3 linked regions of the Sus scrofa genome follow. The protein of the gene in region 2 purifies or fractionates together with the protein of the main gene of each other region. This does not show direct contact. Links are inferred from orthologs where the notes say so. Each region holds a gene or a part of one and is shown on either strand. Other genes may lie near its edges.

The links.
Region 1: the proteins of FAM96B (region 2) and ERCC2 purify together in Homo sapiens (affinity purification with western blotting; 3 studies listed by BioGRID and IntAct, with this or other methods). This does not show direct contact. The link is inferred for Sus scrofa from reciprocal best matches to the Homo sapiens genes CIAO2B and ERCC2.
Region 3: the proteins of FAM96B (region 2) and CDKAL1 purify together in Homo sapiens (affinity purification with mass spectrometry; 3 studies listed by BioGRID and IntAct, with this or other methods). This does not show direct contact. The link is inferred for Sus scrofa from reciprocal best matches to the Homo sapiens genes CIAO2B and CDKAL1.

Annotation. Positions count from the first base shown.
Region 1 is NC_010448.4:51,753,348-51,761,201, forward strand, and holds the start of ERCC2 (TFIIH basal transcription factor complex helicase XPD subunit), read right to left. Parts: upstream 4,162-7,854; 5' UTR 4,015-4,161; coding exon 4,010-4,014; intron 3,894-4,009; exon of another isoform or gene 3,677-3,893; coding exon 3,577-3,676; intron 2,417-3,576; coding exon 2,339-2,416; intron 2,265-2,338; coding exon 2,202-2,264; intron 2,018-2,201; coding exon 1,904-2,017; intron 1-1,903. UniProt on the Homo sapiens protein: ATP-dependent 5'-3' DNA helicase. Component of the general transcription and DNA repair factor IIH (TFIIH) core complex, not absolutely essential for minimal transcription in vitro.
Region 2 is NC_010448.4:27,608,327-27,616,015, forward strand, and holds FAM96B (mitotic spindle-associated MMXD complex subunit MIP18), read right to left. Parts: upstream 4,292-7,689; 5' UTR 4,234-4,291; coding exon 4,086-4,233; intron 3,927-4,085; coding exon 3,847-3,926; intron 3,588-3,846; coding exon 3,462-3,587; intron 3,046-3,461; coding exon 3,000-3,045; intron 2,361-2,999; coding exon 2,263-2,360; 3' UTR 2,143-2,262; downstream 1-2,142.
Region 3 is NC_010449.5:15,922,521-15,929,804, reverse strand, and holds part of CDKAL1 (threonylcarbamoyladenosine tRNA methylthiotransferase), read right to left. Parts: intron 7,157-7,284; exon of another isoform or gene 7,107-7,156; 5' UTR 7,102-7,106; coding exon 6,932-7,101; intron 4,970-6,931; coding exon 4,857-4,969; intron 1-4,856. UniProt on the Homo sapiens protein: Catalyzes the methylthiolation of N6-threonylcarbamoyladenosine (t(6)A), leading to the formation of 2-methylthio-N6-threonylcarbamoyladenosine (ms(2)t(6)A) at position 37 in tRNAs that read codons beginning with adenine.

The sequences.
Region 1 (7,854 bases), about 24 Mb from region 2:
AATTGGTACAACCACTATGGAAAACAGTATGGAGATTCCTCAAAAAACTGAAAACAAAATTACCATATGATCCAGAAATTCCACTCCTGGGCATCTATCCAGAGAAAACCTCCATATGCCGTGGGAGCGGCCGGAGAATTGGCAAAAAGACCAAAAAAAAAAAAAAAAAAAAAAAAATTTTTTTTTCTTAAATTTATCACCACACACATTTACAATTTTTTTTCTTTCCCACCGTGCTCATAGCATATGGAAGTTCCCAGGCCAGGGATCTCAAACCCTCACTACAGCACTGACCTGAGCCGCTGCAGTAACAACCCCAGATCCTTAACCTGCTGGGCCACAGGAGAATTTCACAATTTTTTTTCTTTTTAAGGCCAATTTGAGGCACATGGAAGTTCCCAGGATAGGGGTCTAATCAGAGCCACAGCCACGCCAGATCTGAGCCACATCTGCAACCTACACCACCGCTCACAGCAACACCAGATCCTTAGCCCACTGAGCCAGGCCAGGGATCGAACCCACATCCTCATGGATCCTAGTCGGGTTCATTAACCACTGAGCCACAAAGGGAACTCCCTTCACAATTTTTTTTCCTTATAATGAGAACTTTTAAGATTTATTCTCTTAAAACTTTCAAATATATGATAGAGTATTATGAGCTATGGTCACCATGCTGTACAGCTGCCCTCAGTATCTGCGGGGGGCTTGGGGGGGGGACTAGTTCCAAGTCCGCCCCACGGATACCAAACCCGCAGATGCTCAAGTCCCTTATATTAAATGGCACAGTAGCCACGACCTATGTCACAGCAACATCAGATCCGAGCTGTGTCTGCGACCTACACCACAGCTCACAGCAACGCCGGATCTTTAACCCGCTGAGAGAGGCCAGGGATCGAACCAGCAACCTCATGGTTCCTAGTCAGATTCGTTTCCACCGCACCATGATAGGAGCTCCCCTATCCGCAGGTTTTGGATCCACACATAACAGGGCCAAGTGTACATTACATCCCCACGACCTATTTCTTTTATAACTAGTCTACTTTTTTGACCCCTTCACCCATTTTGCCCAGCCCCCACCCCTTGCCCAAACTTATCAACAACTGTATGAAGCAGGTAGTTAATTTTTTTGGCCGTGCCCATAGTATGTGGAAGTTCCTGGGCCAGGGATCGAACCCGAGCCACAGTTGTGACCTGCACCACAGGTAATGACACTGAATCTTAACCTGCTGTGCCACCAGGCAACTCCAGGTAGTTAATTACCCTCATTTTACAGAATGGAAGACTGAAATCCAGAGAGCAGAAATCACCTATGCAAGAGTACACAGCCGAGTTCCCACTGTGGCACAGCAGGTTAAGGATCAGGCATGGCCTCAGCTGCGGCTCGGATTCAGTCTCCGGCTGGGAAACTTCCAAAAGTGTGGCCAAAAACGAAAAAAACAAAATAAGTACATGACCAGCCCGTTTCAGAGCCAGGCAAGCAGGGCTGCCGGAGTCCGGAGCTGGGAAGAGGGGTGCTTACCAAAACGCGGTGTCAGCACTTGAGTGAGAGGAGGACTCTGCGTCCCCAGAACATCCCCCGAGAGGCCTAGTCTGGGGATCCAGGGCTCCTGGTTGGACCAAGAGTTTCCTCAACCCAGGGAGTTCCCACTGTGGCTCAACGGAAACGAATCTGACTAGCATCCATGAGGACGAAGGCTTGACCCCGGCCTCACTCAGTGCGTTAAGGGTCCGGCATTGATGTGAGCTGTGGCGTAGGCCAGCAGCTGTAGCTCTGATTCGACCCCATAGCCTGGGAATCTCCGTATGCTGCGGGTGTGGCCCTAAAAAAAAAAAAAAAGGAAAGAAAAAAGAAAAAGTTTCCTCAACCCTAAGGCTTAGGGCAAGGGGCAGGACAGGCACTCACCTCGGGGTGAATACACAGGTTCTTCCGGGAGCTCAGAGCCAGCCCCAGGAATGGCAGCTTCTCGCCCTCCTGTTTCTCATAGAAGCTGAGTAACTTTCGAAGCTCTTCAATCACCTGTTCCAGTTGATGAGGGAGCAGGACTTGGCCTGATTGAAAGCACAAGCCCCAGCCCCTGCCCAGCCAGGCCCCCACCCCTTACCCGGCTTTCCAAACGCCCCTGAAGCTCTGGTGGCAACTGCCAGGGGAACCCAAGGGCTCCGACCGAGTCGGGGAGCAGTGGGCTTGGCTCCAGGCTCACCTTCTCAATCTCGGGCACAGTCCTCGAGCAGTAGATGAGTTTAGTCACCTCCAGCGGATACGCCTGCCGACGACAATGGGCTCAGCCTCTTCCCCCTCCAGCCTCTTCCCCCTCCACGCGCCCAGTGGGTCACTCACCCGCTGGTATGCCATGATCAGGGCCAACAGGGACACGGTCTTCCCGGTGCCTGAGGGCATCTCCAGGACTCCGTGACCCTGGTGTTGAGGAAGAACAAGGCTCTCAGAACTTCAGAGACACAAACTCTGGGGAGTGCCCCCCCCCAATCCTGGAAGAGCATGTCAACACATCAGTTAAAAGTCTGGGCCCCAGGGCAGTGGATTTGAACCCCACTTCTGTTGAGTGGACTTAGGCAAATGCCTTCACCTGGCTGGGCCTCAGTATCCTCATCTCTAAAATGGGTCTCTTCTTCATAGCACAACTAGGAGGACGAGTAAGAAACTAGGTTTAAACATTCCGCATAGTACCCAACAGGTAGTGAATCCTTTTTAATGTAGCAAGCCCCTCCCCAGCACTTACTCTGGGTCTGGCACCACTACCAAGGGTCCTACATCAGTTTCTCAACAGCGAATCTATTGACATTTGGGGGCTGGATAATACTTGATTGTGAGTTCTCTGGGTGGTCTAGGGGTTAGGACTCAGTGTTTTCACTGCTGAGGCCCGGGTTAAAAAATTGTAAAAACAAACAAACAAACACCTGGGAGTTCCCTGGAGGTCTAGTGATTAAGGATTCGGCATTGTCACTGCTGTGGCTCAGGTTTGATCCCTGGCCCAGGAATTTCCACATGCCCTGGGCATGCCCCCCCTCCAAAAAACCCCAACTTGATTGTGGGGGGTTGTCCTGTGCACCTTACAATGTTTAGCAGCATCTGTGGCCTCTAGATGCCAGCCACACCCCCTCCCCACTAGTATGACAGCCAGGAATGTCTCTTGATATCGGTGAATGGGGGGGAAGGTAGAGGGGTGTCAAAACGTTCCTTAATTGAGAACAGCTGCTTTAGGTAGTGAATTAACCCCTAGAGCCTTCATATTAACCTCTAAGGTAGGTATTATTACTAGGCTCGTTTTACAGAGGTGAAAACTGTTCACAGGGAGGTTAAGTGAGTTACCCAAGGGCACACAGCTGTGGGTCCAGGATTCCAACCCAAGGAGCTGGTTCCAAACTCTTTATGTTCCTAAGCCAGCCGCTGAGCAACGCAGCCTCTGATAAATGTTAGCTGCTGCTGTTATTAACCCGTATTATTTTAGATAAGACGAAGTTTGGCCGTACTGGCCTCCCACGGACCTCAGATTTCCAAACTCTAGACGTCCTGCAATCTCAGTCTTAGACGCACGTGAGGCAGCCCCAGCCACCCACCTTGGCATCCAGCGTGCGTTTAAGCTCCAGCATGTAGGAGAACTGCTCCGGGTAGATGTAGTCGTACGGGAAATAGACCAGCAGCCCGTCCACGTTGAGCCTGGAGGCAGGGGCTGCCGGGTCAGTCGCCCGTCCCCTCAGCCCCTCTCCAGCACCCACACTCCGCTGTCGTCAGGCCGAGAGGGGTTACCAGCCCGAAACTGGCCCGCTGGTCTCCCCAGATATCCCCGAGTTGCCCAGGAGCCTCTGGGTACCTTTGGCATCTCATCGCTGACTATCCCCGTTACCGCCCCGTGGGTCCCCACGGCTATCCCCACCCCACCCCTTCAGCCTCCCCTCGCCCCGCTGGGACCCCAGGGGCGCCCACGGGTCCTGGCATCGTCCAGACTCCCGCGCCCGCTTCGCAAGCCGCGAGCCCCCGAACCCCTCTCACTTCATGGCGCCGGCCGCTACTCGCAGAAGCGTCGGCCCGCCTCCCTCATGAATATCTAGTAAAGGCAGGGTCCGCAGGGCGTCCTCGAGGCTCTGCTCCACCTTCGTCAAGACACCATTGGCTGATTCCTCCCGTCACTCCACTGGGGGGCCGTCAATCGGATAATGCGCGTGCGCACGGCAAGGCAGGGGCGGGGGGGCGGTACCACAGGCATTGCTGAGGATCGCCGAGGACCAAGAACAAAACATGGAAGGAAGAGAACCGAGAGAATCGATCCTACTTACTGGGATTCTGGCTTCCTGCATATGTCTGAATTATGAGCAGTGAATACACACTTGATTTCATTCTATTATAGTCTAGCTTTTAAGATGCCCCCTCCACTTGAACAAAGTAATCAGGACTAGAATGGGGGGCCCTAGAGAGGGTTCCTGACCCTGCCTGGGGGATCAGAGAGGGCTTCCTGAGGGAGGGGTCGGGTGAGGAGTAAGTGAGGCAGGGTAAGGTGGCCCAGACTTCGCTGCAGGCGCAGAGGACACCGCTGAAGGCAAGTGGAAGCAGAGGACAGCAAGATGGGGCTGGAATGCGGCTTGGGGAGCACAAACCTCCGAAATGGAAGCCATCCCATGCTTTACACCCAGCCATTTGACATCTCACATGGTCGTTATTCCCAGTCTGTTCTCCTGTACGTGGTAGTGCAAGGAGCACCTGCGTGGCATCTTTTTTATGTTGTTGTTGCTTTTTAGGGCCGCACGTGGGGCACATGGAGGTTCCCAGACTAGGGGGTCTAATTGGAGCTACAGCTGCTGGCCTACACCACAGCCATAGCAACTCCAGATCCAAGCCTCCCGCGTCTGTGACCTACACCACAGCTCACAGGCAACACCAGATCCTTAGCCACTGAGCGAGGCCGGGGATCAAACCCAAAACCTCATGGTCCCTAGTTGGATTTGTTTCTGCTGCACCACGAGAGGAACTCCAGTGTGGCATCTCTTAAGGCTCAGGGTCATGTCTCACTAAATACTTCAACCACTGCCTAACTTGTGAAAGTATATTCTCATTTGACTGTGATAAATGCCATGTGTGGGTATGTGTCATTATCCCCACTTTTTTTTTTTTTTTTTCCCCAGGACCTCACCCACAGTATATTGAAGTTTCCAGACTAGGGGTCAAATCAGAGTTACATCTGCTGGCCACAGCCGCAGCAACACCAGATCCGAACTGTGTCTGCAACCTACACCACAGCTCTTGGAAACGGCAGATCCTTACCCCAATGAGAGAGGCCAGGGACTGAACCCACATCCTCATGGATCCTAGTCAGGTTCGTTAACCGCTGAGCCACGAAGGGAACTCCTTCATTATCCCCACTTGCCCAAGGCTTTACAGCTAGGCCAGGTGCCGCTACCCATGCCACCCCCATCCCAGCCCTGCCCGCTCTGGGTTGTCACAGCCCGGGGATGGTTCTGTCTCCCCCACTGGACTGTGAGCTCCAGGAGTATAGGGCTGACACTGTTTGGGTCACTGCTTTGTGCCCTTTGCCACCAAGTACGGGGCCTGCACAGACCAGGGGTTCAGTAAATATATGCTCAGGTCCCTCACAGTCTGCCCTGGAAAACTGTACTGTGAGATTTTATATGAGGGGCTTCAGTATTCATAGATTTTGGTATCCCTGGAGGAGCCATTCCTCCCGCTTATACCAAGAGATGCAACCTATGCCACAGCTGTAGCAACACAGCATCTTTAACCCACTGTGCCAGGACAAGGATCAAACTAACACCACCACAGAGACAAGCCAGATCACTAACCCACTATCCACAGCAGGAACTCCAAGGGATGACTGTATTTTCTTTCTTCCTTTTTTTTTTTTTCCACTTCTTTCTTTGCTTTTTAGGGCCACACCTGAGGCATATGGAAGTTCCCAGGCTAGAGGTCCAATCAGAGCTATAGCTGCCGGCCTACACCACAACCACAGCAATGCCAGATCTGAGCCACATCTGCAACCTACAACACAGCTCGCGGCAACACCAGATCCTTAACGCATTGAGCGAGGCCAGGGATGGAACCTGCATCTTCATGGATACTAGTTACCACTAAGCCACAATGGGAACTCCAGATGACTGTATTTTCAATCCACTGTTGGTTGAGCAGAACCCACGGGTAGGGAGCGCCAAGTGTAAAACATTTCTTAGAATACATCTCTACATCCAGCTCCTGGTCAAGGGGAGGCTTTACTCAAGGACGTGACTGCCAGATGGCAGGGGTGATTGAGAGCCTTCTTGTAGTCATAGTTCTCTGTGTCTGGAAGGCTCTTGCCTCAGCCCCCGACTCTTTCTCTTCCCCAGAACCCTCCTTCAGTTTTACCTGAATCTGTCTCCAGAATCATAATTCTTTTTTTTTTTTCTTTTCTGCTTTTTTAGGGCCGAAGCCAGCGGCATATGGAGGCTCCCAGGCTGGGGGTCTAATAAGAGCTACAGCCGCCAGCCTATGCCATAGCCACAGCCACACGAGATCCAAGCCGTGTCTACAACCTATACCACGGCTCACGGCAATGCCAGATCCTTAACCCACTGAGCGAGACCAAGGATCGAACCTGCAACTTCATGGTTACTACTTGGATTCATTTCTGCTACACCACAACGGGAACTCCTAGAATCACAATTGTCTTATTGCAGCCTTCTGTGTTTTGTTCTGTGTTAATTTTTGGTTGACACATGTAAGGGAACATTAAGAGGTTCCAGGGATCAGGGCCTGGAGACCTTTGGGGACCATTATTCAGCCTACCCAGGATGCATTGCAATTTAAATAGGGTAGCCAGAAGTTCCCCTTGTGGCTCAGCGGTAATGAACCCAACTAGTATCCATGAGGACGTGGGTTCCATCCCTGGCCTTGCTCAGTGGGTTAAGGATCTGCTGTTGCCAGGAGCTGTGGTGTAAGTCGCAGACGCAGCTCAGATCTCACGTTGCTGTGGCCAAGAGCTGCAGCTCTGATTTGACCCCTAGCCTGGGAACTTCCATATGCCGCGGGTGCGGCCCTAAAAAGACAAAAAAAATGTATAGGGTAGTCAGGGAAGGCCTTGCTGACAATAGCCACAAGGTTGTTGTGTGGTGAGAATCCCAGTTGACTCTGATATGCGCCAGGGAATATCTGTCCTAAAGAAATCAAGTTATTTAGGGTAAGAGTCCCACAAATAGATAGGCTGTCATGAGTTATTTTAGGATAAGGGTCTGACTAAGTATCCCGCATTTTTGGCAGATGTTCTAGATGCCTATGTTAGGACAATAGGTGGTCAAAAGGTCAGATTCCATCCAGGCTGAGAGGTGCCTAAATCACACTTCCTCAGTGGCCTCCCAGCTCCATTTGAGAGCACTCTTCTAGCAATACTGACTCCATTTTTATTTTGATCCCACAGATGGCAAAAAGGGAATTTGCAGATATGACCTTGAGCTATCGAGGTGTGTCGGAAATGTAATCACGTGTCCTCCTAAGAGGGAGATGGTGCAGCAGGACAGAAACAGAGGCGATGTGACACTGAGGCAAGATGCCAGGCTGCAGGCTTTGAAGATGAAGAGGGCAGAGCCAAAGAATGCAAGGAATGCAGTTCTAGAAGCTGGAAAAGGAAATGAAATTGATTCTCCCCTACAGCCTCTGGAGGGAGCGCACCCCTGCCAATACCTTGATTGCGGGCCAGCCTGGTAAAACTAACTTCAGACTTCTGATCGTCTGAATGGTAAGAAAATAAATGTGTGTTGTTTCAAGCCATCAAATTTGGGGTCATTTGTGACAGTAGCCACAGGAAAAGAATACACTTCCAATCGGGCACCTATACTCACCTCGCCTACTCTAGCTTT
Region 2 (7,689 bases):
CTACAACTGGGTATTGGCAGCTGGGAAGGCTCCCTGGGGCCCGAGGGGTCCTGATTGGTCATCTGCCTCTCCGGAGCACTGGAGCTGCTTCATCTGTGGGAATAGGAGCAGGGGAGGGTACTTTGCCTGGAAGATCACTTGAAATGGGTCCAGATCCATTTTCTTTTCTTTTTTTTTTTTTTAGGGCCTCACTCACGGTATATGGAAGTTCACAGGCTAGGGGTCAAATTGGAGCTGTAGCTGCTGACCTACACCACAGCCACAGCAATGAGGGATCCAAGCCTCATCTGTGACCTACACCACAGCCCATGGCAACTTGGGATCCTTAACCCACTGAACAAGGCCAGGGATCAAACCCGAGTCCTCATGGATACTAGCTGGGTTCGTTACTGCTGAGCCTCAGTGGGAACTCCCGGTCCAGATTCATTTTAAATCTTCGCAGAGCAGTACTTAGCTATTGTTAACTCCCCTCACAAATGGGTGACACAGGCCAGTGGCTTCATCTTTCTGAGCAGCCAGATCTTGGTCACTAGGTGGCAGAGCCACCTCTGCCAGGAACTGGGGGCTGGAGGTGGGCACAGGCTCATTCAGCCAGACAACAGCGCCCCCTGCCAACCGAGTATCACCTACTGAACTACTCAGGTTCCTCTACTCCCTAACTGGAGGTTTTAGGGAGTAAATTACCTAATCTGGAAGCCTCTTTCCTCACCGGCGAAATAGAGAAAATAAAGAATATCAACTGCCACACAGGGATGGCTCAAGGACTGAACGACTAGGTAGTATATGTGTCAATGCCCACCCTTAGGATCAGCTCCATGTTGTCAGCTAGCCCTCAAGAACCGATCTGCCAAGTGCCCAGGCTCCCTGTTGAGGCCTCTGCCCACCAGGTAGACAGGGTAAGACTTCTTAATATCCCATTTATCCTCAAAGAATAGGAAATCATGACATTATGACTCCTAACTGGCTGTTCCAAGGTCTAAGCCCCATGGTGTCCTGGTGGCCAACTGTGCTGGAGGAGGCAGAGGCTGCCAGTGGAGAGAGTGCTTCAGGTGACTTTCAACAGAGAAATCTGCTGTCACTGCCCTGACCAGGGACCAGGGTGAGCATTATTAACAGTGGGGACAAGCTGACATCACACAGCTCCTGCTGGAAGTTAAGGATCCAACTCCTGGCAAATGTCCTCATTAATAAACTCAAACCTGAACTCAACTTCGAGTTTACAGGAAACCCAGCAGACTAAGGAACCCATCAGACCATGGGATTCTCCAGGACGACCCACCTGGGCTTTTCAAAATGGTCAGTGTCGGAGCTCCCGTCGTGGTTCAGAGGTTAACGAACCCAACTAGCATCCATGAGGACTCGGGTTTGATCCCTGGCCTCGCTCAGTGGGTTAAGGATGCAGCGTTGCATTGAGCTGTAGTGCAAGTCACAGACATGGCTTGGATCCAGCGTCGCTATGGCTGTGGTGTAGGCCGATGGCTATAGCTCCAACTGGACCCCTAGCCCAGGAACTTCCATATGCCACGGGTGTGGTCCTAAAAAGACAAAAAGACCGAGGAAAAAAAAAAAAAAAACCCAAAAGAGATCAGTGTCAAGAAAGATTACATGGTGGGGGTGGGGAGACAGGTCTAGAAGAGGCTAAAGAGAGTAAGACAACCAAATGCAATACATGAAACTTGACTAAAGCCTGATTAATAAACCAACTATGAATGACACTTTGGGGAAATTCACATTTGACTGGACGTTAGATATGAGCATCAGGGAACTGTTCATTTGGGGACCAAACAACCACTGTGATTACAAGCTTATTCTTAGGAAGAACTTAGAAGTGAAAGGTCATGTGTCTGCAGCTTACTCTCAAGTATATTTATATTCTACACACACACAAATAAAGCCAATGTTGCAACATGTTAACAACTATCAAATTTAGGTGGTGCTTATATAGGAGTGTTCACTACATTAATTTTTCAATTTTTTTGGCATACTTTTCCTGATCAAACCATCAGCAGAACATTTTCTTTCCTCTGAAGAGACAGTTTTTTAAATGATCTGAACCTCACTGACCCAGTCTCTACAGGCACTACCACCCCCACCCCCAAACCCAGCGTTAATCCCACTGAGATGAAAGACTCTCAGGCATGCTGGAAGAGGAATATAAATAAGGGTTTATTACAAAATGCAAAATGTTAGTTTCTTACTGTCAGTGATTTCAAGAAAACAAGGCCATGAGTCCTGAATGGGACTGGGAGCAAAAATCCAGGTTCAGGAGCGAGCTGACAGACACTGGTTCACAACCTCCAGCAGGTGGGTGTTCTCTAGGGCAGCTGCCACCCGCTCTTTATCTGCGAGCTGCTTGTTCACTGGGTGGAAAGGAGAGAGGTGAAAAATATTTATACCCCCACCAACGAAGTCATTCTCTCTGGGAGTTCCCACTGAGGCTCAACGGTAACAAAGCCAACTAGTATCCATGAGGACGTGGGTTCGATCTCTAGCCTCACTCAGTGGGTTAAGGATCTGGCATTGCCATGAGCTGTGGTGTAGGTCTCAAACACAGCTCAGGTCCCACATTGCCGTGGCTGTGGTGTAGGTCAGCAGCTGCAGCTCCGATGTGACCCCTTCCATATGCCACACCTGCAGCCTTAAAAAGCAAAAGAAAAGAAAAAAGTCCTCCTCTCCTCTCCTTCCCAAGACTCCAAGCTTGATCAGGCTACCCCAAGCACCTGAGCCCACACCTATTGCACCTTTCTGTGACCTCTCCCACCCCGCCACCCAAGTCTGCCTCCTACACTATAAAGCCAGACACACCCTTGTCCTGTGTACTCAGGACAGGGAGAGGGTAGGAGTGGGAGAACACAATAAACACTGGAGACTCAAGTCGGGCCAGCTCCCTGAGGGGGCACCCACCTCGTGCCACATGCCCTACCCTCCATCTTGCCCTACAAACCACAACGGCAAGGGGAAGCCTCCAGGCCAATGCCTTGACATCAGCCCATGCTTACCTGCATGCTCAGAGGCATGGGTCCCTGGCGTAATGTGCACGTCCATCTGGGAGGAAGAGAAGTGGGGTCTGGGCACTCACACACCCATCCACCCCTTTCCGTCTCCACATTCATGCCTCTGGACTCTGGTCCTTCCATTACACCCAAACCCACTCATGGCCACTGCAACTCTACCCAAAAGACTGGCCAACTGCTACTGACTCAAAAGCCTGCCTGGACCCCATCCTTGCTCCAAACCTATCCACAGCCCCCTAAGGCCACATTCCTCACTACTTTTCTGCACTTTCCAGCTTGGGCCTCTAAATCCTGTCCCATCCAATTGGAAAGCCTCCTCCCGGTTTCATCTCTGCGAGCTGGGATCCCTTCAGGTCTCACTGTGTTATCCATGTTCATGCTCTCCACGCCCTCCTCAGTAGCAGACACTCATGCCTGCCCCACGCCTAGGGCTCAGTTCCAACTTACCTTAAAACGCTGAGGAAGGGATCGCAGAAGCTTGACTTTGATGGACAGGCCAATAAGGGTGGCCATACTGCAATGCGGAATGGTGGGTGTGAAAGCCACAGCCACTGTGCTCTCAGGGTCGCTTACCTGGTTGAGGAGGTGGAGTGTTGGGAGACATGGCCCCCTTAGCCCAGAGCCCCTCTTCTTAGTTTACTGCTTCAGGCAAGTTGTCTTAAACACTGTAGGATGCAGTTTCCTCATCTACAGAATAGGCACACACCCCACCCCCTTCCAAAGACCCTTGAGGATTCTGTGAGCTGAGACAACACCCACCCCCCGGAGCAAAGTTGAGCCTTTCTGACTCCCTGGAACAAGTCACTCCCCCGGGATGCTGGAGGTGACTCACCTGAACCCGGACTTGCTCTACTACGTTCAATTCTTCCAGCGTCAGTGGATGCTCCGGGTCATTGATGGAGCGAATCAGATGTGCTAAGTGAAGGAAAAGGGACTCTGCGCTTCTGCCCACTCAGAACCCTCCGCCGGGAATGCTCGGCCCTGATACAGCTCCACCAACTATTGGACATCACCACATCCCACCCCATCCCAGGACCCGTGAACCCGCCCGCGCCCGGCAGCGGCGGATATCGAAGATCTCGCGCGCATCGATGCTGTCTGGAACTTGCTCGTCTTCCTCGCCCGCGGTCACTGGCCGCTCCCCAGAGCGCTCGTAAATGAGGGGGTTCGCGTTCTCCAGAAGGCCGCCCCCAACGCCACCTCCGCCGCCGCCCACCATCGCGGAACCTCGGCCGCAACTGTAGACATGCACTTCCGCTTCTACGAATGCACTTCCGGGGAACGGGAAGGGGGCGTGGCGTGGCGACGGGGTAACGCGAGGGACACGCAGCGCTGCCGGTACTCCGCCTGGGGATAGAGTGGAGCGGTGTTGTAGGCGCGCTCTCCACGCAGACCCGGGGAAATGCGCAGCGCTCCAGCAAAGGCTCGCAGACCCGGCCCCGCGTGCGGGCGGGTAGCGTGCTAGACCGTGGAGTCCGAGACTGAGGCACTTAGGGTTCGTCTGGGATTGACCGAGAAGTTTCTTCAGACATCGCTTCCTCTGAGAAGCCCGCCCCTTAGACTAGGCGACCGCTCCCTTCCCCAGAATTGCCTCTGTCCGTGCAGGGTTCACTGTGTTTTGGAAGCTCCCGGTGGCGCACCTGCAGCCCCCACTGCTCCTTGGGCCCGGGAGTGCCCTCCTGGTCCCCAGCGCGCGGGCCAGCTGGTGTTCTTTAAATATTTGTCCAGTGATTAATGCCTGAACTCGATTTTGGCGGGAGGTGGGTAAAAGGAAAGACCTGAGGTGGGGTTGAGGGTGTTCTTAAGAGGAGTGCCACAGGCAGGTGTGCATTCAAAAGGCAGGCCATTGCCGATCAGGGAGGGGGTCCTCAGAGACCCCCAGAACTGGGACAATAAGGGGATGAAGGCAGAGCCAGGAAATCGATCCCAGAAAGCAAGGAGTTTTTGGAGAGAAGGGCAGCCACTCTTCCCTGCCTTTACTTAGTTGGTTCCCTTCGCTCTGAACGAAGGTCATTCCCATTTCTCTGTCTGTGGGAATCCTGACCAGGGCACCTCTTCAAGGAAGCTCTCCTGGTTTCCCTAATCACAGTTCCGTCTGCTCTCTCTCTCGACCCCCTGGACACACTTGTCGGGCCCATGGCTGTAAGGACAGTGAACTCAGGTATGAGGTGAGGGTTCTTGGTATTGTGTAGAAGCCCAGAAGAACCTGGGGAGAGGGGAAGCTAATGTGCTAGCCCCTGCCTGCCACTGGCCTTGGCCTGTTCAGTCCGTCTCTCCTGCCAAACTCACCACTCCCTGCCCAGTCCAATCTCTAGACCTGAATGACTGCTGGATGGGTTCCTGTGCAGCCACTTGGTGAAAAGCAGAGTGCCCAATGGTAGGGCAAAAAAGAAAAAGACCTGTAAGCTCACCATGCAGCTGGATGGACTTCGAGTGCCACTGAGCGCCTCCTCAGACTTCTGCTTCTCTTAATCCCCAGCTATAGGATGAGGCTCCCAAGCAGGGTGACAGGAACCCAGGTAAGACTCGCCAAATTCTGCAGAGACAGGACCTGAGGCTGCGGGAGGACAGATGTCAGGGAAGTGGGAGCCAATAGGGAGCTACAGCACCCTGTGCGGACCCAACACATCGTGACCCTAAGATGTGCCCCTGAGGCAGAGGGAGAGTCAGGGCTGCCCCAGATCACACTACACCAACCGATGAGTGGTCCCTAGGGGCTCAGAGCAGTACCTGCCTAGGTGGGCTGGGGAAGAATTTGAGACATTATCCCCCTAGGGTTTGTGGTGGGGCTGGCACTGCCCCGGGGGGGGGGGTAATAACAGTAATAATACCTCTGGCCATCATTTGGCTCTGAATGTTCCCTGTTAGGCCAGAGGGTTGTCCTGACACCCACTGAACCTCTCTCCAGAGGAGCCCCAGGCAAGGTTACTGACTCAGGGTACCGAAGCCCCCACTCCCAGCTGCTATGTCCTAAAGCCTATGGGAGAGAACAACGCCATCCTTTCCACCCCCGTGCAACCCTCCCTGGGGAAGGCACGTCTTGGTCTCCAGGGCAAAGGTGCTGGCTCTTTGTGCCATCCTTAGCAGGCCTTTGTGGTATCCCTTATCAGCTTAGACTTTGTGGGCACAGTGCCTGGGTGTGTCTGTAGCTCCTGGGTCTCCTCTTGAAGGGTGCGATCCCCGAATCCAAACAAGCTCTGCCTGATCTGACTCTCCTCTCCCTTTCCAGTTTGAATCTGCTAGTAAAATGTCCACAGTTCTCTCCCCCTTGGGTCTTCTCTGCCCTTCCTGGTTGCTGACCAGGCTCTAGAAGGTCACTGGAACCTTCCAGCATCACAAAATGCTAGGCCTAGCTGACACCCTCTTAAAAATGTTGCTGGAGGAGTTCCTGTTGTGGCTCAGCGGGTTATGAATCCGACTAATATCCATGAGGATTCGGGTTTGATTCCTGGCCTCGCAAGTAGGTTAAGGATCCGGCATTGTGGTGAGCTGTGGTGTAGGTCGCAGACATGGCTCCGATCTGGTTTTGCTGTGGCTGTGGCATTGGCTGACTCCACCCCTAGCCTGGGAACTTCCATATGCTGCAGGTGTGGCCCTAGAAAGAAAAAACAAAAAACGTTGCTGGAGTTCTCTTGTGGCACAGCAGGTTAGGGATCTGGTGTTATCACTGCAGCAGTTTGGGTTGCTGCTGTGGTATGGGTTCAGTCCCCGGCCCAGGAGCTTCCACATGCCACAGGTGGGGCCAGAAAAAAAAAATGTTGCTATAGGAAGTTCCCTCATAGCTCAGCGGGTTGAGGATCTGGCATTGTCCCTGCTGTGGCTCAGGTCACTGTTATGGCACAGGTTCAATCTCTGGCCCCCGGACTTTCACATGCTGGGGTGAAGCCAAATAATTAATTAATTAATTAAAACTAAAATGTTGCTACATTGTATAGGACCCACTTTCAGAAAAAAAAGAAAAGAAAAAATTGGAGTTCCTGTTGTGGCACAGTAGAAACAAATCCTACTAGTGTCCATGAGGATGTGGGTTCGATCCCTGGCCGCACTCATTGGGTCAGGGATCCGGCATTGCCGTGAGCTGTGGTGTAGGTCGCAGACACAGCTTGGATCCTGCATTGCTGTGGCTGTGGTGTAGGCTGGCAGCTGCAGCTCCAATTCGACCCCTAGCCTGGGAACTTCCATATGACACGGGTTTGGCTCTAAAAAATCAAAAAAAGAAAAAAATTGATAAGCACAGGTGATGGATCTTACCCTCTCCTGTCCCACCCAGTCCTGGCTTATCCAACAGAGCTAATCAAGGTCTCCGGGGCTTTCCACATCCTGCCCAGGAGTTCCCCAAGAATGGACGTGTGTGTGGCATCCTGGTTTTAACCTAAATCGTCGCAAGTTCTTTCCCTTTCCGATGCCTGACTTTTCCACTTCCTGACACAGGGGGTGACCTCTCCACACCCCCACATGGTAGACCTTCTTTTTCCTGTTTAACCAAAGAGCTTCTCTTCAAAGAGGAAGCATCCATGATGTAACCAGCCTCTGATCAGGGACATTTCAGCAGGTTTTGTTCTTTGCTGTAATAAACATCAAGCCTCAGAAGTCAGTGGCAGCAGTGAATTACAGGCGCAGGCGTCACGTCCCACAAGGAACTGTGTCAATAGCATGTTACACAGGAGAACGTACT
Region 3 (7,284 bases), on a different chromosome or scaffold from region 2:
GCCGGATCCTTAACCCACTGAGAAAGGTCGGGAATCAAACCCGCAACCTCATGGTTCCCAGTTGGATTCATTAACCACTGCGCCACGACAGGAACTCCTCAAACTCATCTTAAAATAGGAAATAACCACATGCCAAAGTTATTCATTTGATCCTTGCAGTAACTTATATGAAAGGACAAACACATAGTAGGCTTTTAACCAATTCAGCTCCTCTCCCTGAAAATGTGTACAAAAACCCTGATTTCACTTTGACAGCCAGCGCAAAAATAAGGTCTTCTGTAAGAGAAGAATGGCTGTATTTTGAAGTAGCTGAAGTCTACTGCTTTTTCACCTTCCCACAATTAACCTACTCCTCATCTTAATATCCTTTATTATGCAGGTAAACTCAAGATATTAATGAAATGTCATGGTCATCAGTTCATAAAACAGATAAGAAAGCAGGCAAAGTTTGTTTCTTTTTATAAGAAACTTTATGTGTGCTCATATTTTAATTATTTGCAAGAAGTATGATTTTCAAAAATCCAGGTCCAAAAACAAAAGTGTAGCTTTAATATCCTTAAAATTCTACTGTCCACATCTGTGGTTGTTAAGAGTATTCCTTACACAAACATTTCCATATGTCAATTTAATACACCCCACTGACCTCAGCCTTAAAATTTAAAACCACTTCAAACTAAATGGCCCGATCTAGAAAATATGCTTACACTTTAGTCAATTACAATACTGTGTCCTTTACCAAATACACTGTGTTTGTTTCTACAGCACAAAGAGATTTTAACTTTCTTAACTCAAACCTGAGACTTTATAGTCTGACTTGACATTAACATCAAGCACTTCTAAAATATAAACTGGAGACATTCTTTTAATAATTATAAAAAAATGAAAGAATCCATTTTAAAAGCTTGACTAAAATAACTTGTAAGATTTAGCACACAATATGAAGGCTTTTCCTCTGCCAGAAAACAATAATCCTTTTGTCTGCTGGAATCCTCTTGTCCATGTCTCCTAGCACTATACCCTGTTAACACATATCATGTTCAGAGAATATGTGCTGAATGAATAAACTTTATACAAATACACAAAGAAACCATCAAGAATTGTAACAGCCCAGCAATTTTAAAATGATTTCTCTGAAACTGTGGGTACCCAAGCTAAATGCTCTATTCTGACTCGGGTAAGCTTATCACAAATATTCCATACATATAACACACATTACTCTCATGTGTTTATGAACTAGAACCTGGTGATGGATTTTTTTCCACTAACCAAAGGCAATGCTAAAAACACTCACAGCAGACATGACCCCACACTAAACAACACAGTTTTCTCCAGGGAGTTCTCTTGTGGCACAGCTGGTTAAGGACTCGGCATTCTCACTGCAGTAGCTCAGGTTGCTGCTGTGACACAGGTTCAGTTCCTGGCCCAGGAACTTCCACATGCCGTGAGTGCGGCCAAAAATATATATACACGTATATACAGCTCTCTCCAACATCTTTCTATCTCTCCAACATATCTCTAGCATACCTTTATCTATATGATGGCCGACCCTAAAGCAGTCGCCATACTTTCATTCCACCACTGGGCTAGGCAATGGTTATGAGTTCTTTGCTGAAATTATATGAGTTAAGAGGTTCTTTTTTTTTTTTTTTTTTTTTTAGGGCCACACCCATGGCACTTGGAAGTTCCCAGGCTAGGGGTCAAATTGGAGCTGTAGCTGCGGGCCTACACCACAGCCACAGCAATGCCAGATTCTTAAACCATTGAGTGAGGCCAGGGATCAAACCCACCACCTCATACTTCCCAGTCGGATTCATTTCCACTGTGCCACAACAGGAACTCCAAGAGTTGTGAGGTTCTGAAGAGACCCAGAAAGTGTAAGAATCACTGCCATACACATTTCTTGGAACTCTTATAGAATAATTTTCAGAAATCAGTCAAGATAAACTAAAATGCCTTGTTTTTCACTAAAACTGTATTGTTCAATATCATGTCACCTACTTTGTTCATCAGTTTTGGTCTTGAATGACCTGTGAACATTTTAACACTAAATATACTCTCAAGATATGAAGATCTGCCACCAATGAGGACAATTAAAATAATTTACTTACATCTTCAAAAGAAATTACCCCAAAACAATAACTAAAGACAGCATTAATGGGGGGGAGAGAATTAGGGGAGTTTAGTCTACCAAAATTATTTACTAGAAGAACACAGTCATGAAATATATGTTTCTAAATCATATTAAAAAAAAAAAAAAAACCACTATAGGAGTCCCCGCTGTGGCTCTTGGAAATAAACCCGACTAGTATCCTTGAGGATGCAGGTTTGATCCCTGGCCTCTCTTGGTGGTTAAAGATCCAGCGTTGCCATGAGCTGCAGTGTAGTCTGCAGACATAGCTCAGATCCTGCGTTGCTACAGCTGTGGCAGAGGTCAGCAGCTGTAACTCTGATTTCACATCTAGCCTGGGAACTTCCATATGCTGCCCATGCGGCCCTAAAGAAAATTAAAAAAAAAAAAAAAATTGATACAAATCATCTAAGTAAATGCAAGTATATAAAAGCAATATACTACATTAATAAGAAAAATCAATTTCACATTCAAGTGATTGCTTTCTTAATTTTCCCTTTTTACTATTCCCAAATAAGAAATCAAAATTAGGTGTGCATGACAAAGCTTAATATTCTTATGTAAACACATCAGGACTGTTATTTTACATAGAAAGTACTATTCTAAGACCATAAAACTGCTAATGGACTAAAACTCAAGTTAAAACATGTTGGATGTTTAATTTCATCTAAGAAAAGTCAGGATCTGATTTGTAATGTTTTAAGAAATTATCTTCAAGCCTATTTTCTTAATTTCAAACTGCACCATCAGAACGTATTAAGGCGAGTCCAGGCTAAATTATACTCAAAATTACCAACGAATACAGAGAAGCAATTCTAGAAACAGACTTTGAGTGTTTTCACCTGTCTTAAGAGTGACGTTGCTGTCTAAAGAATGAGTTATCGAAAGCAGAGTTAATGACATATGACCATTTAGTTACTAAAGGAAACACTGTTATGAAAGGAATCCTCTCTAGTCCTCACATCCACCTGAAGCTATGACTGACCAACTGAATGCGCTAAGGCAACCTGCTATGCAATACAGACTGATGGTCAGGAGCAGTGTCTTGGAGCAGCAAACTCCACTGCCTATGTGATTTAAGGTAAGATACGACCTCTCCATTCTCACCTATGAAGGAGGGATGCTAATATGTCCTTATATCACAAAGACAACACACAAAGCACTAGGCCACTGCCTGCTACAAAGCCTTCATGTTATATTCCAATTTAATATACAAACAACAGAAACAGAGACGTGTGTATGTGCCAGATAGTACATAAATGCATTTCCTAACGTTGTCCACTAAGACAACCTAGAAGCTCTGACACTTCATGGTGGTAATAAGCACACCTCGTGCCCAGATCTCTGGCCTGGTTTTCAACACCATTCTCCTAATGAAAGGGAGCAGAGTTCCTTGGGAACGTGGTTGCTTCTGAAGCTGGAGAAAGGAAAATACAAGACCAGAATATCTTGTGGTGCCAGAAAATAAAGAACCATTTAAAAAGGTATGGGGACACGTTTAAAAGGCATAGGAACAAGCCTGAACAGGGTCCTATGCTAAAGCTGGAACAATACAGGCAACGAAATAAATAACAGCATTGAACTATAACCTACAGAATAAAATAAATATCCATGAGTCCATGCTGATATAAACAAGTAAAATAGGGCAGAAAGGACAGCTCTTCCTCAAAGAAAAATTCCAATTACTAAACACGGAAGAAAAGAGAAAATCACCATTAAGCAAATAACAGCAATAACTGTCGCAGGCAAGATCCACTAACGGATGCTAAAATTATCAAATACTAGCATTAGTAGGCAAAAGGTTGAGGAGACACAAAATATTAGTTACAGTAAGAAAAATAATAACTTTACTGTGGAGATATCTAGAAGACAAAGATCAGTGTACTAACATCATAAAATCTCTCCCATACCATATACTAGTAGGATATAATATCACTTTTGTACTCTTGCCAAAAAATGCATACCTTATTCTAACCATGAGAAACTATCTACAAAATAATCAATTTTCTTCAGAAGAGTCAAGGTCATAAAAGACAAGAAAAAAATGAGGAACTATCACAGGCTGGAGGAGGCTGAAGAGACATTATGAATAAATATAAAGTGAGATCCTAGATTGGATCCTGGAACAGAAAAAGGACATAAATGGGAAACCTGGTAAAATCAAACAAGGTCCGAGTTTATATAAGAGTATTACACTAATGCTAATTTCACAGTTTCTTAATTATAATTATATAAGATGTTAGGATTAGGAGAAGCTAGGTGAAAGGTACATATGAACTCTGCAATTTTACTACTTTTCTCTAAGTCCAATCTTACTTCAGAATCAAGCTTTAAGCTTTTTAAAAATATGATATATACACAGTCATCTCTTAGATCTGCAGGGACTAGTTCCAGACCTCAGGTGGGTACCAAAATCCACATATGTTCAATTCCCACAGTCAGTCCTCTGTATCAGAGGGTTCCACATCAAAGGATACAACCAAACATACACTGCAAACATACCAGTATATGTACTGAAGAAAATCCATGGATAAATGGATCCACACAGTTCAAACCCATATTATTCGAGGGTAAATGGCAGTTACCTATAATATGTATTAGCTATCACTATTTTTCTGCCTTAAAATCATTAAGTTATACTAAAATATCCTTTGCTGAAGCCAGTATACCTCTAAAAAACTTAGCACTGAAAAACGTAATCAATAAAACACATTACAGATGTCATTACCTGTAATTTTATATCCATAAGCAGCTAGTTGTCCAGCCATGTACTCTCCATCTGAATTATTATGAGAACAACCCCATGTTCGTATCCAAATTTTCTGAATGCCTGGAATAGTGCTGTTTTAATTGATCAAAAAAAAAAAAAGTCTCATTAAGGGATTTTTTTAAGTAAAAAATACTAGATAATTTCTGGGCATACTATGCAAAAACAAACACTGCTATACATTCACAAGCTATTCATTAAAACATCAACTAAATTTGTAATCTGTTGTTACACCAAAAGTCTAAAAATCAGTATAAAATAAGCACAGAACTGTAAGTTAAGACTCTATATATAAAAAATATCTTCTATTTCATTGAATTGTATTTTAAGTTCAATACTACTAAATACGAACACTAAATTCAACTCTCGGAAAGGTACAAATCACAATAGCACAGTCAATGGTACTAACTTAAATGGCAAATAAGGAAAAATTAAGCATCTATATGCTCAGACTACTACATACTAGTTACAATCTTTATAAGTTATAGATTAAACAGCAATCAAAATGAAAATCTGGGAGTTCCTGTCGGGGCGCAGCAGAAATGAATCCGACTAGGAACCATGAGGTTGCAGGTTCAATTCCTGGCCTTGCTCAGGGGGTTAAGGATCTGGCATTGCCGTGAGCTATGGTATAGGTCACAGATGCGGCTCAGATCCTGTGTTGCTGTGGCTATGGTATAGGCCAGCAGCTGCAGCTCCAATTTGACCCCTAGCCTGGGAACCTCCGTATACCACAGATGTGGCCCTAAAAAGCAAAAAAAAAAAAAAAAAAAAAAAAAAAATCTGTCACCTTATGGCATTATTAAAAGTACTCCATAGGGGCTCCCTTGTGGTACAGAGGGTTAAAGATCTGGCATTGTCACTGCAGCAGCTCAAGGTGCTGCTCTGGCACAGGTTTGATTCTCTGGCCCAGGAACTTCCACATGCCACAGGCACAGCCAAAAGAATAAATAAATAAATAGGAGTTCCCATCATGGCGCAGTGGTTAACGAATCCGACTAGGAACCATGAGGTTGCAGGTTCGGTCCCTGGCCTTGCTCAGTGGGTTAACGATCTGGCGTTGCCGTGAGCTGTGGTGTAGGTTGCAGACGCGGCTCGGATCCCGAGTTGCTGTGGCTCTGGCGTAGGCCGGTGGCTACAGCTCCAACTGGACCCCTAGCCTGGGAACCTCCATATGCCGCGGGAGCGGCCCAAAGAAATAGCAAAAGACAAAAATAAATAAATAAATGTCTTAAAATAAATAAAAAACAAATAAATGAAAGTACTCCATATATAAAGTTCTAAAAAATGCAATATTTTTAGGAAGGAAAAAGGACTTTCACAACTTGGATGGCTCTAATAATTAATAATTCAATAGGCATTAGCTTAAGGACATGTTCAGGACAAATTTAACAGATTTCAGTCATCATAAGCAAATTTTATATTCATAGATTTTTAAAGCTTACTGTTCCAAACAAAATAATCAAATATATTAAAACTTTCAACAATTTACTAGATAAACAGTTTAAGCATACTAAAACAATATAACTGCATAATCTTTTCTGGCTAGGTTACATTAGAATTGCACTAAACTAGAGACCTAATAAGACAGTGTAAAAACATAATAATTTGTGTCCAATGCCTTTAGATGATCTCTAAGTAACTGTAAATATGCTAAGAAAAATCAAATGCTCAAACTGCCACTCTCGCATAAGAATCACAAGTGCCAATAAAAATTTTTAATTTAGAAGCACCAATTACACACCAACTACAGTAATATCAAAGAGACCCTGCCCAGGGGAAGAAGGGTGATCCTTGCTCTGCCAGATACTGGCTTAGCCCTGCCTTTAATGGACTTGCAGTTTGAGGTCTTTTTCAAACAATGACTTCACTAAATATAAAACCATCTGAATTAAAAAAATAAATAAATCTACATTTTTCTTCTCACCAGTTCAAAGATTTGTTAAAAGAGACATTACGTCTATCATATACAGTAGTGCCAGCCTCTCCCCTGGTATGAGACTGAATTTAGTTTCAAAAAAAATAAAAAAGTTTACCTATCACTTGGTGGACTGTTTTCGTCTTGCAAGTATTTTTGGGTATTTCGCCTTCGCACCTTTGGAACGACTTGCTTTCTTGCAAAATGCCTGTCCTGTGGCTTTGAATCTTCTTGGGACACAATATCTTCTATGTCATCCAGTAGTGTATCACAGGATGCAGAAGGCATCTTCTCTATCACGGAAAGTTATAAATGACACAAGCAGAGGAGTCCCTCAGAAAATCTGTTTAACATAACATTGCCTATGAAATATTCTTGCCAAACCTGAATCTAATAAAGTCTTTAGATTTAACTTCAAGTTTACAGAAAATATGGGAGATACAGAAATACAGGAGATATCAGATAAATCTC